Linked DNA regions of Neurospora crassa OR74A. The protein of the gene in region 2 purifies or fractionates together with the protein of the main gene of each other region. This does not show direct contact. Links are inferred from orthologs where the notes say so. Each region holds a gene or a part of one and is shown on either strand. Other genes may lie near its edges. The genes, in order: crf6-1 and ckb-2.

Region 1 (4,372 bases), about 930 kb from region 2:
TTGCACGTCAGACAACTCAACTCGGATGATCTTTTCGGTTTTGGGGGGGAGGTCCGACTCGACCGTCTCCTTGGTGCGACGCAAAATGAAAGGAGCGATTGACTGATGCAACTCGCGGAGCTTCTCTTGGGTCCTGATACGCCTAGCCTCATCCTGTTCTTCATCAGTGGGACCTTTGTTATCTGCGGTAGACAACGCTTCAAGCTCCTCATCAATGACGACCTTTCCGGGGTTAAGGAAGTCGAGGAGGGCTGAGAGTTCGGCCAGATTGTTCTGAATGGGTGTGCCGGTAATGAGGACCTTGCAAGGAACGCCGAAGTTGTTGAGCTTGATGTAGAGCTGTGACTCTCGGTTCTTGAGACGGTGGGCCTCGTCAACAGCGAGAACTTGCCATTTGATGTTCTTGAGATGATCCGCATCGGCCAAGATGTAGTCATAGGAAGTGACTAAGACATTGAACTTGGTCTTCTTTGGGTTACCATCCACAAAAAGTTCGTAATCTCGAATGTTGGACCGAGCTGCCTCCGGGCCCAGGTAAACGACGTAATTGAGATCCGGAGCCCAATGATTAAATGTATCGCACCAAGCGGGGATGACGCTAAGAGGAGCGACGACAAGGAACGGTCCTTCCTGGCCGCGTTCATTCCGTAACCAGCTGAGGAACGAGACGCTTTGGACAGTCTTTCCCAGACCCATTTCATCGGCTAAGATGACGTTGTTGCCCCTTACCCAGTTGAGAGCAAGGAAGTTAAGGCCTTTCATTTGGAACTCGCGAAGCTCGCCGCCCTTGATATAGTCAGGCTGCTTCTCCAGTTTGGTCATCCTCGACCGGGTATCGGGGTTAGTTTGCTTGCGGTCAGACTGCCATGACCGGTTGCATCGGTCGAGGAACTGGTTAATCTTGTCCTGAGCAAGTTCGGCCACGAGAGACTCGGCTTCCCAGGTGCACTCGTCGTATTGCAGGCCCTTCCACTTGATGTAATACTCGGTGCCCTCATCACCGTCTCTGACAGCCACAACGCGCTCGACCTTTGTGTAGTCTTCGAGGGCCTCTTGCTCACGTTCTCTATCCAGGTACCACTGCTCTTTCTGCTCCGGACTGATATCGTCGCCACCGAATTGCATCTCCAGTTCGTACTCAACAACCTTCTTGTAATAGTTTTCGAGGCGGCGAAAGCCTCGGAAGCCTGCGACAGTTTCCGTAGTTTCCCAGGTGTTGTGGGGATATGATTGTCCCTGCCACTTGATGAAGTATTCAAAGTCGTGTCGCGTAGAATCCACCGTGACCTCGACACCCTCCTTAGGACGATGACCGAGGATTTTCTCGATGTATGGCGAGTTATCCTCGACATTGGCAGACCAGTAGTTGGGGGTAAGCTCGGAGTCGTCCTCTTCATCTTCTTCGGCGTCACTTTCTTGGTAGGCACCGGCTGAGACCTGGGCGGCCCGACGGCTAGACCATCTCTTTTCGCTAAAAGCCAAGGCAGGGTCCTGTTCTTGTTGCCTGCGGACCTTTCTTTGGAAGCTGCGGGCTTTGGCGCCTCCATATGTGTCCGAGTCGGAATCATCGATTGAGGGTTGGCGAGCAGGAGTGCCACGCTTGGAAGCTGGAAATCACGACAAGTCAGCAGTGAAACAAAATGCCGAGGAGTATGACGGATGAAAACTTACCAGGCAACGAGCGTTCAACCCGACGTCTCTTCGCAGGCTTTCTAGACACCGGTGTGGCATCCGATTCGGATGGTTCATCTTCTTCATCTGAGTCGATCTGTTTACTCAGTTAGGAGAGGCGTAACGACGAGAGCTCATCTTGATCCACTTACGATCTGCGCACGGCGTTGTGTAGGGCGTGACTGTTGTAGGTCGTTAGCATGGTATAACACAACAAGAATGCGGGATATTCGTACACTCCTCCTCAACCCATACAGGGCAGGATTCTCTCTGATGTAATCATCCTCGGTCGCGTGGGCGACTTTGCGCTTCACGACGGTACGGGACGACGAGGCAGACACGACTTCGTTGCTCTGAGCAGACCTGGGGCTATCGGGGGCGTCAAAGTCTCCGTCATCTGACGCGTCGTTATCACTTGCTGAATCGGACGCTTCCTCGAACGTCAACTCGGGTTTTTGTATCGGCGAGACAGCCTCGTCGGCAGGCTGATACGACTGGGCGTCGGCGTCGTCATTTGGGTCGGCCTCGGCGGCATTAACGTCTGAAAGGTCGCTCGTGCTTTCGGTATCGTTGGTAAAGTTGAAGTGGCTGTCATCCGCCGGCGGTGACACATGCCCGAACACCGGACCGGATTCGGGAGATGTCGACATTTTGAGACTTAGACGCGGAGGCTGCCTGCTGTAAGACGACGATGTCAGCCAGCGGTACGCGTCATTTACGAATCACTACTTGGGGCGATGGAAAGAGGCCACTCTTGCGACCCGGAATCATCAGAGAAATCCGGTATCGGGGTAGCGGACGACCCTCAATGATGATTGTCGCATTGGCTCGCGTGTAAGTGATGGAGGCAAGGCTGTGGATGATGAGGCGGACGGCGACGGCGATTGCAGTCGCGTGTGGGCGCCCTGAGGGCACGGGAGAGCAGGCCATGGTCTAGGGCAGCTGTAGAGGCGATATTCATCAAGAATCGACGGTCTGGCGACCTCTACAAGCTGGTAGACGATGGATATCAAGGGCGACGAGGCCCGCTTCGATGGGCGAAATGATGGGGAAAATGCAAGGCGAATACGCAGGGCAGGGCACGCAGTGGGCAGTGGGCAGTGGGCAGTGGGCGGCAGTGGCTGGACTCACAAGTCATGGAAGAATTAAGAGCCTCCAGGCAGCAGACTGCAGAGTGAATCTTCAAGCCCGAGATTCACAATCGCGGTGCCGTGGGAGGAGTGGTGGTGGGGGAAATGGTCAAGGCCGGAGACCCTGGGAGGGGGCTGGCAGTGGTGATGGTGTAGCGGAAAATCGCAGTGATGGACGGAGGAGAAGAATCCATGAAAATGGTGAACCAGAACCAGCAACACCAGTGGGCCACTGCCTGGCTTGTGCTTCAGACGAGGCCCGCTTGCCCTCAACTCAATGCTTGCTCAGTCCCACTTTCTGATTGGTCAGTTTCGTTGGAAGCAACCTCCGAACTCAAGTGTGGGACCGCCACATAAAGGTTCCAGCTCCGTAATTACCGAAACCGAAATGTAACGCGTGTCTTGTGATCTGACCACTTCAATGATGTTCTCTTTCACTGGATGGTAGCGCCAGGAGGAAGCACACTTGCCTAATCCAGTCCGATGGGCGCTGTCACGATCCTTGCCCGTTTTGCTCACAACGCACGAATTTCAGTTGTGTGACGAAGATCTGTAAGATCAATGTTTCTTGTAAGTTTGGGTTTGGAAAGAACGAATAACAGGACACAAACCCAACGCGGCTCGAGCCTGGTCGGATATCATTGCTGGAGCTTGCCAGCTCGTTGGTTGCCCACTCCGATCGTACCCTTCCAGACGGCGTGGGCGGTGTGAGGCAGGCGAGAGCGGGCGATTCCCGATTCAATTGCTTGGAGGTATGTATGGTTATGACCGCTCAGCTATCAGGTTATACAACACTGGAAGAAGTTCAAGGATGGAATGTGGTTGATATAACAACAAATGATTCAGAGAAGTGTTGTTGTCGGTTGATGGCACATCGACTGTGTACCGGTGCGACTTGGGAATCAACAAGGTGGGAAAGATGGAAGATGGACGACAAGCTGAGAATACTCCCGGTACGTGGACGTCGCCCGGTTTTTCTAGGTAGGCATGCTGGCGTCGAAGGGGTTTTCTTTGTCAGCTCCGGTGCAGGTGCCAGCCATGCACTGGTCTCTCCTGGTGCTTCACTTCAACTTGGTACACCGCGAGCACCGGCACCAAGGTGATTTGGATGATTTCCCGCCACTGGAGCTCCGGCTCGAAGAGAACCTACTGCGAGCCGACGCAGGCAAACCCAGGCAGGCAGTCAGGACGACAACATCTTGTAGGTGATTGTGCGGGGCCACCTCTATTTAACCCATTCCACAAACGTAATCCGAGAGCCTCCAAAAGTGTCAAAGAGAAACAGATATACCTAATCAAAGATTTTATCCTCGTCTCATGCCTATCCGACCAAAGAAATACCAGTCCTAAACTCCCTTCAGATTATGAGTATGTCCAAGTGGGTATGGTAGAGGCACCGCTTCCCTGGCGCAGCTGGAGCAGATCCGTCCAGGACGATGGATCCACACGATCCCGTGCTGCTGGGGCCACCAGCCTTCCTTGACTGCCAACATTGACCTCTGTCGGCAACTATCTTCAACGTCTTGATGCCGATGTCATTTCTGCCTCGACAACATGTGGAATAGACTGCT
Region 2 (4,153 bases):
TACTTTGCGCATGGACTGGAAATACTTCTGCACCATGTCCTGGACGAAGAGGTGGATGCCCATCCTCCGCCTGCTCCAGAACATGCCATCCTCCCACGCGTGCTGTCACTTCTCTCATCGTTCAAGCAGTACTTGGACATTGTGGTGCAGTGTACCCGCAAGACGGAAGTGCGTTCCTGGCGTACTCTGTTCGCCTATCTCCCTCCACCTCAGGAGCTGTTTGAGGAGAGCTTGCAGCGTGGGAGCCTCAAGACTGCTGGCGGCTACTTACTCATCCTCCATACCTTTGACGAACTCGCAACAGCAAGCGAGCAGAGTGTGCGTCTCTTAAGCAGAGCAATGCGCGAGGGCGACTGGGAGCTATGCAAAGAGCTGGCGCGGTTTTTAGCAGCGCTCGATGAAACGGGGGACACGCTGCGTGAAGCAATGGAGCTGGCCAAGATGCGAGTGAAGCAGGAAAGTGAGCTGGAGGATGGCCATGGCAGCGTAGGCAGCGGGCTGGGCACAATGCTTGGAGTTCCTCAGGGTGGTGGTGCTAACGGTGCTTCCAGCACTACCAGCTCATTGATTTCCAATACCAAGGGGATCATAGGTAGTGACTGGGATGCTGACAGGCGCACAATCAGCGACGCCGGCAGCGTTGTCAGTGCTAATCGGTACGAAGGTTAATGAAGTGGATGGAAATTGGAAAGCGGATAGTTGGTTGTAGGATTGTTGGATATCCATAGCCGTGGCGCTCACGATCCTACCAGAACGTCACTTTATGATGAAGCGGGGGTCTTGAGCTCTAGACACATGCTGTAGGGCAACACAGATGTTATAGAAGCCGGGATGTTTCAAGATAATCTAGAACAGCTATAATCACAGGCGACTGGCGTTCTTATCCCCCATTTTTATTTATTTATATATATTTTTTTTGGGTTTTCCGTCTCCAACAATATACCTGCTCAAAAATAAGGCACAAACTGTAGCACTGAACGTCATGACGCCCAATAGAATACCTACCTTAATGACAGAGTACATGCTTCCATCCCCAGTACCTGTGAACGTACAATTAAAGTCATACGCTGGGCCGTTGGGCTGACTGAAGGCCGACGAAAGGTACCCGCCCGCTACCTACCTACCTACCTAGGTAGGTACTTAGGTAGTCAGATGGTCGATTTTGCAGACCTGATAACCTACCTCTGTGTAGTGCCCTGGGTAGGTCGGGACTGCTGATAAACAGACTGCGATGAGCCAGGGGCGGGGGGGCACTGCAACCTGCCCTGCGGGGACCACTGCAACGGCGATGAACCCCCCACCAAAAAAAAAAGTCCCTTGTCATGGACTGTCAGCCTGTTTGGCTCCCGGTCTAGAGTCCAGACCCCCTCGCCTGCCCTGCCGTTGCCCTGCACCAGGGACGGCTTTGAACCCTCTTCCACCTGAACTCCCATCAAACCGTCGCAAAAAAGCATCACAATCCTCTCCAACGTCTTGTCGTCATTGTGCCTTGTGCCAGCTCAATCTCATCCGACTCGGACCTCCCACTCCCCATCTACGGCCCGGCGCGCATTAGTTCGGCCCAACAAAAGGTTCAAACGCCGTACTTGACCCCGGCACCCGGGATTTTGGCCTCGTTGATGCGAAGCGCCAGCCGACGGTCGTTCGCGCCCACTTTCCTCCCACCACCACCTTCCTCCCTTCCTTTTATGCGCCGAGTATAGACGTGGTGTCGCCGGCCATGGATGACTTTGTGAGCGAGTCTGAGAGCGACTATGCCAGCTATTGGCGCGACTGGGTATGCTTCTCTTGCAATTGTTGTTATTGTTTACTACAGTAAAGGTTCCCCAATCATGCTGACATTTGCGCGTCCGCCTGCAGTTTATTTCCTCGCGAGGCAATGAGTACTTTTGCGAAATTGACGAGGACTACATCACTGATAGGTTCAATCTAACTGGTCTCAACACTGAGGTCCAGTACTACCAATATGCTCTCGATCTCATCACCGATGTCTTCGACCTCGACTGCGATGACGACATGCGGGAAACAATAGAGAAGTCTGCTAGGCACCTGTACGGTCTTGTCCATGCTCGATACATTGTCACAACGCGGGGTCTTCAAAAAATGGTCAGTAATCAACTCTCAGCATTCCATCTTCATCCAGCGTCTCCTCGTCTTCATCCGTGACTAACGCACTTCCCACCAACAGTTCGAAAAGTACAAAAAAGCCGACTTTGGCAAGTGCCCGCGCGTCATGTGTTCCTCGCACCCTCTGCTGCCCATGGGTCTCTCGGACGTGCCCAACTCCAAGCCGGTGAAGCTGTACTGCGCGCGTTGCGAGGATATTTACAACCCCAAGTCGTCGCGCCACGCCGCCATTGACGGCGCCTACTTCGGCACCTCGTTCCACAACATCTTCTTTCAGGTATACCCGACCCTGGTGCCCGCCAAGAGCGTCGAGCGCTACATTCCGCGCTGCTACGGCTTCAAGGTGCACGCCGCTGCCGCTCTGGTGCGCTGGCAGAACAGCCAGCGGGACGAGATGCGTAGGCGGCTGAGGAAGCTCGAGGTCGAGAGCGGGTTCAAGGACGCCGAGGACGAGGCTGAGCTTGACGATGATGACGAGGAGGAGGAGGAGGAAGAGGAGGAAGAGGAGGAGCTGGCTGCTATGGATGAGGCTGAAGGTGCCCAACAGCAACATGCGGCGGCGGCGGCAGGTACAGCAACGGGAGGCGTTGCTGCCGGCGGTGAAGGCGTTCATTAGAAAGGGCCTGCTGCTACTGGTGGAGAAGCGGATGAAGAGTATTGGAATTCAGAAGCCACGATTGGAGCCGCCGACGAAGCTGACGATGAAGCTGAGCTACCAAACGAGCCAAACGAGCCGAACCATTGGTTGACACCTCTCATGTCTGCTGCTGCAAGGCTGCGACGGAGTCTCAGGCTAGGGGAGGACTATGAAGAGCAGGCTGAAGTGGAGTTCGATGAGTGGATGGAACAGGCGAGGTACGGGATCTTTTGACTTTTGAGGTGGTGGAATGCATATACCATACAGTATCGAGTAACAAAGTATGAGTACAGGTGCCTCTCTTCTCTTTGTTTTTTTGTTTCTATTCCCGCACCCCATAAGCCTCTACACAGCGGACGTCGGGATCGATGCGAATAAGGGAGAGAGAGCCATTGATAGAGTGTTTATGTTCTTTGGTCTAGCTATACGTCTTTTCGGTTCTTACCAGACGATTTCTTCTCACCTTGCCGGCTTTGCTTCTCTTCGTCTGTGCTGAACTGCACCCTTCTCTGTTTCAAGCCTCCTAAAAACCAATCGTCAAATCGACGGGAAGTTGAACTTAACGCTTGAAAGGCAGTCTCTTGGAGCGTGAAAATTCAAAACGACCAGACCATATATCCAAGCGTCTACTGAGGAAAGATTCACAAGCGGTGTCATGCGGCAACACGAACCTTTCAAATACATGAACTGTTACCACAGCATAAACACGTTGATTAATGCCGAAGACCAGTGTGCTCAAACTTCCCTTGAAGAGTTACCAGGTAGATATGTGTACATATGGATAGGTTCCTCATTTCCCTATCTCAAAACGCCTCCTGAACATAAGAGAGACTGTACCAAAACCCATGTTGGTGACATAAAACCATTTGTTGTTCCTCATATTTCCTCGTTTAGAGAAATAATCGCTTTTGTCATCAAGCCCACCCATCCGGGCCAAGTCCCTACTTCCGGAAAATGCACCTTGACTCTTCTGATCCGACAATGCGTCGAAATTTGCCTTTCATATCTGATCGTCATTTACCCGTCTCTGTAAGCTGTGTCAACCTGTTCTCATTGATCAACGTCAAGCGACGGTGGTTTCCTCCCCGTGATGATCCCACCGGGCTGGTCCGGTCCCACATTGCTTTCCAAACCGGTGCCATTGGCCCGTACCACGGGGTGCCCATAGCTGCTGCCGTGATCTAAAGAATCCGGACTCAGCGCCTCCTCCTCGTCTCCCGCGCGATAATACTCGCCGACGTTGTGATCAGTTGAGTAGCTGTAACTGCCGACACCTGCCCAGAACGCCTTGTCGCGACTGCGCGGACCCCAAGCCCACCCAGCACCTTGCGAAATGGGCAGATGGTAGTAGCGGAACGAGAAGAAGGCACAGATCAAGCCGATGAGGTA

The links.
Region 1: the proteins of ckb-2 (region 2) and crf6-1 purify together in Saccharomyces cerevisiae (affinity purification with mass spectrometry; 5 studies listed by BioGRID). This does not show direct contact. The link is inferred for Neurospora crassa OR74A from reciprocal best matches to the Saccharomyces cerevisiae genes CKB2 and CHD1.

The regions. Positions count from the first base shown.
Region 1 is NC_026501.1:4,381,170-4,385,541, forward strand, and holds the start of crf6-1 (chromodomain helicase, variant), read right to left. Parts: upstream 2,971-4,372; 5' UTR 2,803-2,970; intron 2,673-2,802; exon of another isoform or gene 2,350-2,672; 5' UTR 2,322-2,349; coding exon 1,908-2,321; intron 1,854-1,907; coding exon 1,824-1,853; intron 1,769-1,823; coding exon 1,672-1,768; intron 1,608-1,671; coding exon 1-1,607. UniProt on the Saccharomyces cerevisiae protein: ATP-dependent chromatin-remodeling factor which functions as substrate recognition component of the transcription regulatory histone acetylation (HAT) complexes SAGA and SLIK. It recognizes H3K4me.
Region 2 is NC_026501.1:3,448,594-3,452,746, forward strand, and holds ckb-2 (casein kinase II subunit beta-2), read left to right. Parts: upstream 1-1,346; 5' UTR 1,347-1,720; coding exon 1,721-1,777; intron 1,778-1,860; coding exon 1,861-2,106; intron 2,107-2,188; coding exon 2,189-2,743; 3' UTR 2,744-3,484; downstream 3,485-4,153. Other genes in the region: NCU11228 (DUF1339 domain-containing protein), read left to right, coding at 1-669; NCU02755 (PAP2 domain-containing protein), read right to left, coding at 3,815-4,153. UniProt on the Saccharomyces cerevisiae protein: Regulatory subunit of casein kinase II/CK2.